Ovis aries: one gene and its partner. Each later gene encodes a partner of the first gene's protein in a complex. Links are inferred from orthologs where the notes say so. Each region holds a gene or a part of one and is shown on either strand. Other genes may lie near its edges.

The links. The genes of interacting proteins can lie anywhere in the genome.
Region 2: the proteins of TNKS (region 1) and USP25 are in contact, whole or in part, in a crystal structure (PDB 5GP7), measured with the Homo sapiens proteins. The link is inferred for Ovis aries from reciprocal best matches to the Homo sapiens genes TNKS and USP25. Residues at the interface, in NP_003738.2 of Homo sapiens: Arg836, Ser838, His842, Leu843, Gly846, Tyr847, Leu871, Asn876, Ser879, Tyr880, His882, Asp900, Trp902, Phe904, Glu909, Gln912, Lys913, Gln934, Glu935; in NP_037528.3 of Homo sapiens: Ser1046, Ser1048, Arg1049, Thr1050, Pro1051, Ala1052, Asp1053, Gly1054, Arg1055.

The regions. Positions count from the first base shown.
Region 1 is NC_056079.1:24,772,074-24,776,483, forward strand, and holds part of TNKS (poly [ADP-ribose] polymerase tankyrase-1), read left to right. Parts: coding exon 1-1; intron 2-1,745; coding exon 1,746-1,911; intron 1,912-3,241; coding exon 3,242-3,461; intron 3,462-3,748; coding exon 3,749-3,858; intron 3,859-4,410.
Region 2 is NC_056054.1:142,137,851-142,143,013, reverse strand, and holds the start of USP25 (ubiquitin carboxyl-terminal hydrolase 25), read left to right. Parts: upstream 1-1,853; 5' UTR 1,854-2,205; coding exon 2,206-2,250; intron 2,251-2,457; exon of another isoform or gene 2,458-2,696; intron 2,697-5,163. UniProt on the Homo sapiens protein: Deubiquitinating enzyme that hydrolyzes ubiquitin moieties conjugated to substrates and thus, functions in various biological processes including inflammation and immune response.

The DNA of each region.
Region 1 (4,410 bases):
GGTATGTGTTAGAATGTCACTGTGTGGAATTCATTTCCTTGATACTTTAAAAAAAAATTTTTTTTTTTCATGATAGATTTTTTTCCCCTTGTTAAAAAAGTAATTTTTTTTTTAAAAGCTTAAAGCATAATGCTTAAAACTTTGTTGTTTTATAGTAGCTAAGTCATGTCCAACTCTTTACAACCCCATGGACTGTAGGCTTCTCTGTCCATGCGATTTCCCAGGCAGAAATACTGGAGTGGGTTGCAGTTTCCTTCTCTAATGCATCTTCTCCAGCCCATGCATCAAACCCATATCTCCTAAAGTATCAGGCAGATATATTTTTACTACTGAGCCACCTGGGAATCCCCCCAAATTAAAACTTTATGAAAATGTATAGAAAGTGAAAAGTCCCTCTCATTCCACCTCCTAGAGATTACAACATCAAAATTTTGTTGTAATTGTGAGGAGTTTTGAAGCACATGTGTACCAGTGTGTGTGCTGTTGTGATGGGGCTTGTTTTTAACATAAATGAAGATGTCATCCCGCAGTCTGCTTTACAGTTTGCCTTTTTTATAATAGTATATCTTGAATGTCTTTCTGTATCAGTACTAAGCAGTTCATTTCATCCTTTTAATGCCTATATATACTATTTTTTTGTATTTTGTAAATAAGTTTATATAGTTTATTGTTCATCCCTCCTTTTGCTGTTAAATCTTTTCTCCTCCAAAAAGAGTCATCCATGTTAGTAGAAACATTTCATTTTTACTAATTCAGATAGTCTCTATTTTTGTATTGGCTTATGAAACTATTTCAGTTTATCTAGACAGGGTTTAAAGCAGACACAAAAGACATCTAGAAAAGCACGAAGGAAGTTTTAACTGAAATGAGCTTCCATATCCTGAGTTAATTTCATATCATCTCAAAATATAAATAAGCACCTTCCTGTGCAGTTACATTGCTAACAAATAAACCACACAACTTAGACTTCAGTTGGGCTTCCTTGGTTGCCCAGACAGTAAAGAATCTGCCTGCAGTGCAAGAGACAAGGTTCAGCCCCTGGGTCGAGAAGATCCACTGGAGAAGGGAATGGCAACTCACTCTAGTATTCTGGCCTAGAGAATTCCACGGACAGAAAAGGACTGCAGTCCTTGGGATCACAAAGAGTCGGACCTGACTGAGCAACTACCATTTTCACTTTCACTAGATTTCAGTTAACCATTTTGCATTTATTTCTCTTTTAAAAGAAAGACGTCAGACATGAACATTTGATATTAATCACTATCTCTTTCAAAGTATTATGGTTCGTTAGAGAGGAGCCAACATTTGTTTCTATTGCCCCATTTTAGCACTTAGTATTTTTGGTCTCAAAACATTAAAAACAAAAACAAAGAAACCGGATCTCTCTAAGCAAAAAGGTCCTAACTTGATACCTTGTGTCTGCTATGTACTAAGTGCAACTTAAATTTATCTTTTGAGGCACCCTCCTTTTTTATGGGGACACTTTTTGTCCTTTTAGAAGGCCAGCTGCCTTGTAATCAGAACTTAAACGAGTCATCACAGAATAGTTTGTACATCTGACTAGAGTTCTTGGTTGATGTCATTATTTTCATTACTGAATACTGACTATCTTCAAGATCAAAGAATTATTTTTCTTAAGGGAGTGTTCAATAATAGTCAAATGCCATAGAGAATTATTTTATTATATGTATCATTTTAACACACCGCTTTATTGTATGTCTTTAAAATAATTTTCTTTGGTTTAGTGGTTTGGTGCCCCTTCATAATGCTTGTTCATATGGACACTACGAAGTAGCTGAGCTCTTGGTAAGACATGGGGCTTCCGTCAATGTGGCGGACTTATGGAAATTTACCCCTCTACATGAAGCAGCAGCTAAAGGAAAATATGAAATCTGCAAGCTCCTTTTAAAAGTATGTACTTTTAAAAATTATAAAATATAAGGTAATTATAGTTATTATTTGGTTAGGATGTAAAATGACATCAAGGTAAATTATTCTGTAATACAGTGCAGTAAGTGCTGTAGAGACTGCTTCCGTTTTCTGTTCTAGGGGGATGTTTAAGTGTGATATCATGATTCTTACGTAGCTTTGAGTAGTGGCTGAAGTGCCTTTCTGAACTGATTTGATTATGTTGAGTTCATCACAATTCAACAAGGTAGGTTTTGGAAAGAGTTGAATTAGCTTGCATTACTTATCTGTAACTGACAATTAATATCAGAAGATATTTATATAAGAAGAAATGTGTTTTTCCATCAAGTTTGATTTTTTTTCCTCGCTAGCTATTTTTATTATTGTTAACAAACTCACCTCTAACTATTAAGCATTAATTAAACATTAAAAGATAGAAAATTAAAAGATGTGACAAATGACTGGACATGTATTTATATCATTTCCTCTCTCTCTTTTTTAAACTAGAGAGAAACTTGTCTTAGTTAAATATAAAATTCTTCTCCTACCACTTTTATGGGATCAGATGTGTTCATATGAGTTTTAAGAATAACACTGTAGTTGATACTAATTTTTATTGTCCCTGGTTAAGTAAGAAATAACTTCTAGGTCACTGTGAATTCACTGTCTGGGTTGGTTATTCCAAATTTCCCCAGTGAGCCAATAACATCTGTGTCAGGTCTGTAAATAAAGATTCTTGACTTTTAATTACTTTATTTCATAAGTATAAATGATTAAACTTATAAAATCAAGTTAATTGTTAATATATTTCTATCTAATTTCACCTTAGGTGCTCAGACTTAAAACAAAAATATTTTTAAATTACCAAACTTTCTTTTTACTGATTCCATTTGGAATTGAGTATTAATACTTTTTCCACCTGTGTCTTCCTCTTCTCATTTCATCAGCACTGAATATCTTTACATATTAATAATCAAGATTTGATTAACATTTCTAGCCAGGCCATCATTAAAAGGAAAAGTGGTTTCCAAAGACAGCATAGAGTCTGAGACAGTATATGCTACAGAAGTGAAAGACATTTGACACCTTTCCCTCTCACCATCACAGGTCATCCTGAGGCATGGGGCTTTGGATGGGAAGTAGTTGGAAAGCTGATCCCAGTTTGTTGCTAAGTAGGAGATTTGCAAGAAAAACCAAATGTTGCCTCTGTTTTTCACAATGCACACAGAATAGGTATTTTTCTTTGGAGGAGTGAAAGTGAAGTTAAAAATAAAGAAACAAAACGTATTAAAGATGCTACAGAAAACACAAACACCATTTGGTTATTTTGTAGCATGGAGCAGATCCCACTAAAAAGAACAGAGACGGAAATACACCTTTAGATTTGGTAAAAGAAGGAGACACAGATATCCAGGACTTGCTGAGAGGAGATGCTGCTTTGTTGGATGCTGCCAAGAAGGGCTGCCTGGCAAGAGTGCAAAAGCTCTGTACCCCAGAGAATATCAACTGCAGAGACACCCAGGGCAGAAACTCCACCCCTCTGCACCTGGCCGGTAAGCATCACCAGCACTTCCAAGGTTCATGTCCTTTCTTGGATACAGTTCATAAGAAGAGGAAAGAAATGCTGATCAGGAAGAGTGCTGCTACTCAGTAAAATGCTTCACTGACATAATTTTATATAACTTATTATAAATCTTATAAATTTTTTTATTCTTAATCATTCTTACCTAGTTTTTAAAACAGAAAGTATTAAAAACCCAGTATTTTCTGATCATTATCATTTATATACATTTTTTTTTCCTTTTAAGCTGACATGTTTGCTTTTTTTTCATTCTAACAGCAGGCTACAATAACCTGGAAGTAGCGGAGTATCTTCTAGAGCACGGAGCAGATGTTAATGCCCAAGACAAAGGTGGTTTAATACCTCTTCACAATGCGGCATCCTATGGGGTGAGCGTGCTAAAGTCCAGAAAAGTTCACTGATACTTACTACTTGGTTAAATACATACCATACATGAAGTAACCAACAGATACCTAACCAACAGCATAATTTAGTACAATTTTAATCTTACTATTTAAAGTGTTTCTAGCCTTAGCCTTCTCAGTTAGGCTTAACTGTCTTTTGCCCAAAGACCGTATATTTTTCAGCTTTTTGGACTCTTCACATTATGTAGTACAATAATAGGTATTTAATGGCTGCTCAGCTAATATTTATTGATACAGATAATAAATCTTAACTGTACCTTATGTAGATTTTATAAACTCTGAAAGCCAGCAGGCTACTCTGTAAGCATGAAAATTATGCTTGCTTATGTTTATCATCAGCATCTTAGAAATATTCAAGTAAATGGTTGAGTGATTGCTATATATGGTTTCATACAGTTCAGATAACTAGCTGAAACCCCACTTACTAGCGGAAACCCCACTGTGAAAGTCGAAATTTATTCTTTCAAAGCCCTGTAACTGTAATCGTCGACTGAAAGAGAAAATGGATGTATTCCA
Region 2 (5,163 bases), on another chromosome or scaffold:
GGGCTGGAATCAAGACTGCTGGGAGAAATATCAATAACCTCAGATATGCAGATGACACCACTCTTATGCCAGAAAGTGAAGAAGAACTAAAAAGCCTCTTGATGAAAATGAAAAGGAGAGTGAAAAAGTTGGCTTAAAGCTCAACATTCAGAAAACGAAGATCATGGCATCTGGTCCCATTACTTCATGGCAAATAGATAGGGAAACAGTGGCTGACTTTATTTTTTGGTACTCCAAAATCACTGCAGATGGTGATTGCAGCCATGAAATTAAAAGATGCTTACTCCTTGGAAGGAAAGTTATGACCAACCTAGACAGCATATTCAAAAGCAGAGACATTACTTTGCCAACAAAGGTCCGTCTAGTCAAGGCTATGGTTTTTCCAGGGGTCATGTATGGATGTGAGAGTTGGACTGTGAAGAAAGCTGAGCGCCAAAAATTGATGCTTTTAAACTGTGGTATTGGAGAAGACTCCTGAGAGTCCCTTGGACTGCAAGGAGATCCAACCAGTCCATCCTAAAGGAGATCAGCCCTGGGTGTTCACTGGAAGGACTGATGTTAAGCTGAAACTCCAAAACTTTGGCCAGCTGATGCAAACAGCTGACTCCTTTGAAAAGACCCTGATGTTGGGAAAGATTGAAGGCAGGAGAAGGGGAGGACAGAGGATGAGATGGTTGGATGACATCACCGATCAATGGACATGAGTTTGAGTAACTTTAGGAGTTGGTGATGGACAGGGAAGCCTGATGTGCTGCAGTTCGTGGGGTTACAGAGTCGGACACGACAGAATGACTGAATTAAACTGAACTGAACCACGGATTATTCCTTCTCTCGCAGCACACTGCATCTTCACATCCTATTTGTGTCCCACCCCCAGATTAGCTTGTGAAATTCAAGATATTTTTGAGGTTATAGACTGCTTTCTCAAAATTAGGTTTTCCTTACTATTCCATATATAATCAAGTATTTCAAGAAGGGTGGTTAATTGATAATTGTTTTGCAACTGGGGTATCCTGTACCATCTAGGCAGTGATATTTTTGTAACACTGTCTGTTGAATAGACCGTATTTCATTTACGTCAAACCTTAGGAAAATAAACTTTTATTTCCTAAGAGCCTGCCAGTGACTGGCACATGTTTGAAAAGACGAAGTTGACAGAGACTATCAATATTAACTTATGTAATGATTAGTTGCAGAGAAAAGTACATTCCAGCGAAAGGCCTTCTGACAGCCTTTTGCTTAAATCACAATTGACTTTTCTCTTCGGGCAAGTTTACTGCTTGTGAAATTCCTAGAAAGGGCTGGGGAGAGGACTCAGAAAGACCAAGGATTCGGGATCCAAAGCGGTTTGGGAACGTTCAGGGACCTAGAGGAAAATGTTTCTCTTAGAGGGATATGGAAATCTGACAAATTCTGGGCATGAAGAGGCACGATGCCCTCCGGCCTTGGCTTGAAGCGTCGCGGAGCCGCGGGTAGGCGTCGCGCAACCTGCCGCAGGGGCGGCTCCGAGGCCGGGCCCGCGTGGCGCTCGTTCGCCCCACCCCGCGGGACTCCAGGACGGGGGGCGGGGCTCCGGAGCGGCCCCGCCTCCCGTCACACCGACCCGCGGGTCACAATGTAGGGTTAGGGCGGCCTGTGGGCGGGGCTCGGCGGGGGAGGAGCCGCCAGGCGGGGGCGGTGACGGCGGTAGAGGGAAGGGAGGGGAGGGGAGGGGAGGGGGCGGTAGAGGGAGGGGAGGGGAGGGGACAGGAGAGGAGGGAGGGGAGGGGAGGGGAGGGGAGGAGGAGTTGCGGTGGGAGGAGGACAGCGCCATTCTGGCCGGCCGCTCCCTCTGTCCCCTTTCCCTTCCCCGCAGTGGCCCGCGAGCCGCCAGCGGAGGAGCGCGCGCGCGCGCGTGACGCGTCCGGGCTTGCTAGCGCCCTCCCGCCCCCCAGCGTCCACCGCCCGCTCATGGCCCGGGCCGCGGCCGCCGAGCCGCGCTGAGGCGGGCCGCGCGGAGTCGTGGGGCCGCCGCCGTGGCCCTCGGTGTCCGCGCCGCGCCGCCAGCCCGTGGTGCCCGCGCACGCCGGCCGTCGTCGCCTTCGCGCCTGGCTGGCGGGGGCGCTGTCCTCGCCGGCCGTCCGCGCCGCTCCCTGGGGCTCGGCGGAGCGTGGCAGTCAGGGCCAGCGGAGGCTCGGGGAGCCGGACGCCGGCGCGGCGGGGGCCATGACCGTGGAGCAGAACGTGCTGCAGCAGAGCGCGGCGCAGAAGGTGAGGAGACCCGGCCCCGCTCCTCCGCCCGAGGTGCCGCCCTCCCCCGCCGCGGCCGGGACCTCCCCGCCGCCCGGGCCTCCGCGGCCCCAGCTTTCCCCGCGCCGCCGTCTCCCGCCCCTGCCCGCTTTGGGGGCGTCGCTCCCAGTTCCGGGCTGCGTGTGGAAAGCGGGGTGTAGTTAGCGGGTTTCAGTCCACTTCCTTCTTGCCAATTGTTTTCCTGTAACCGACGGTGATGGGTGTTTGTTGAGCGCGACCTTACATTCCTACACTCCTCTGTATGACTTCCTAATTAAACTTTATCTTCCTCGTCTTTTTTTTTTTTTTTTTTTAAGAAAAAGAAATAGCCGGTTGTCATCCCTTGTGAACCCAGTTTTCTTTCCAAGACAGGAGCCTTCCAGATCTGCTATTTTGCAAAAGAGTCTCCACCGCAATTGAATTGCCAGGTACAGGAACCAGGTGGACTCAATGTAAAAGTAGAGGATTTGGTTGGTTCCTTTTTCTTTTTGTTTTTTTTTTTTCCTTTTTTTTAAAAATATAGAAACTGTCCCTTAAGAAGAGACCTTTTCGGCCATGCTTATTTCAGGTATATTTTGTCCCCTAAGTTTGACCTTGTTCCATCCTCACCCTTTACTCTTGCCTGGGTCACACATTAAAGAGGTTGTTCCCTTAAAAAAAAAAATCTGGGTTTGTGAAGCTTCAAATCTTTTCCGTTAAGTATAGTTAAGTGAGAGATGCTACTTTTCCCCCTTCGATTTTGCTTTCGGAATCTGAAGTGCACTCTCACGGGTTGCACCATATCCTGGAGAGTCGTTGGCTATGGCTTAATTTTTGGGGAGGGGGTTATTGGTGTGAAAAACATTTTGGGCAAAAGGAAAACCATTACTTTACTCGTCTTGAAATTATGGTGGTGACCACGGTTTACTGTGAAAAGCTGGTAGAACTATTCGATTTTTCTGGGAGAGTAGTGTGAATGCCCCACCCTGTGGTGTTGATAATCAGTAGTTTTCTTGGCATCATTGTATCCTACCTGTGCTTGATTTTAAAATAAGGCCTACTGTCGTAAAATGGACTATGTATACTCACAGCGTGCTAAGTTTTTGCTTTGAGATATTTTTAGAATTTTATGGTAGTACTTGAAGTAATTGAAGATGCTCAAGAATTTTGGAAAGCGAGCATACTGCATTGTTATTTTAGGCACTTTGGGGAAGTTTTCTTGGAACTCTTGTGTGTTAGTTAATTGTTATTGGTTAATTTGGGCATCCCAGGTGGCTCGGTGATAAAGAATCTGTCTGCAATGCAGAAGACTCTGGTTCGATCCCTGGGTTGGGAAGATCCTTTGGAGAAGGAAATGGCAACCCACTCCAGTATCTTTGCCTGGGAACTCGCATGGACAGAGGGGCCTGAGGGGGTTTCTGGTGTGGCATGGGGCCATGGGGTGGCAAAGAGTAGGACGCCACTTAGCAACTAAAGAGTGACTGGGTTGATTGAGAAGATGTTGCAGACTGCGGTTTATTTGCAGTGAAATAATTCTAGTTTTAATAATGGGAGCTTAGAACAGTTTATCTCCTAATCCCCTTCATTCTGTTTTGAATACTTTGAACTTTAGTTTTTGATGTTGAGTATGTGACAAAGTGTTAATACTTAGAGGAGGATCTTGTGGCCATAGTATACTGAGCAATATTTAGTAGGCTTGGTGTCCTTCCGGTTTATAGTTCTCTTCAATGTTAAGTGTTAAAGCCTATTTTTTTTTTTCAAAGTGGGAAATGTAGCTCATGGTTTTCACATGTCAGATTTGAACAATGGCAAAAAAATTTGTGAGTTTTTAAAATTGATTTTTGACTAATGTACTTAGATAATGCAGATCTGCCCATTTCAGAGGTTTATGCATAAATTTGAATCAAGAATAAATTACTAAAAGTGATCTTAGCCATCAAGTCCAGTTTCTTAGTTTAATGAGTCCCCTCCTTATGCAAAGGGAGTAGTTGTTAGTCTAAAATACTACCATTTTGACACTGTTTTTACTATGTGTCATATCATCTCGTTGAGATTGTGGACATTTTTTAGAGCAATACAGTCGCATTTATTTTTATACTTCTATTATGGTGTTTATGTATTAAAGAAACATTTAATGTGTTTGCTTGCCATATGAATATGCTGTTCTTTGTTACTCATGTTAGTACTATTTTCAAATATTCATACAGGTTCAAATACTTTAAACCATCTACTTCAAATGAACTGACATTAAAATCCACCAAGGTAGTAACTAGGAAGTAGACTTCAAGCTAGTAACTAGGAAGTGAACTACTTTAGAAGAATCAAAAGTGAAACTCTTTGTTTTTAAAATGGAAACTATGAATTATTAGTAAAATGAGAAGTGTCTAGTGCATACTGCATAACCAAAATTTCAGCCTATTTTCTGCTCTTCTGTAAAAACTTGTTGTATGCTCACGTGTAATATCAGCTTTATGTCTGTTCATTGGAACAGTTTCTTATTTTGTGAGATTGTTTTTTTTTTCTTCCCAAAGGATGTATAATTATAATTAAAAAAAAAAAAAGTAGCACAACACTCAGGTCTTTTTTTTTTTCAAGTAACACAAAACTTACAGGTCTTCTGTTTACCTACAGAGTGGCTTGTCACAATGTAACATAAGGCAAGGGGTGTCTTTTCCTTTGCCTCTGATGTGTTCTTTGCTTGATCGCTCAAGTTTGGCCCTGGCAGGGAGTTGTGAGATTGAGTGAAACTGCAAAGAGCCATTTTCCTGAGGTTTAAGATGATACAGGTGAATTGGAGTTGGTATCAGATTAGCTAAGGTTAAGTCCTGTCATAATTTTGGTCTTGAATGTGTATATTCGGCCTTTCTGCTTGATATTTACCTGAAGTGTAGGATTCTCATCTCAGAATTTTGGTTC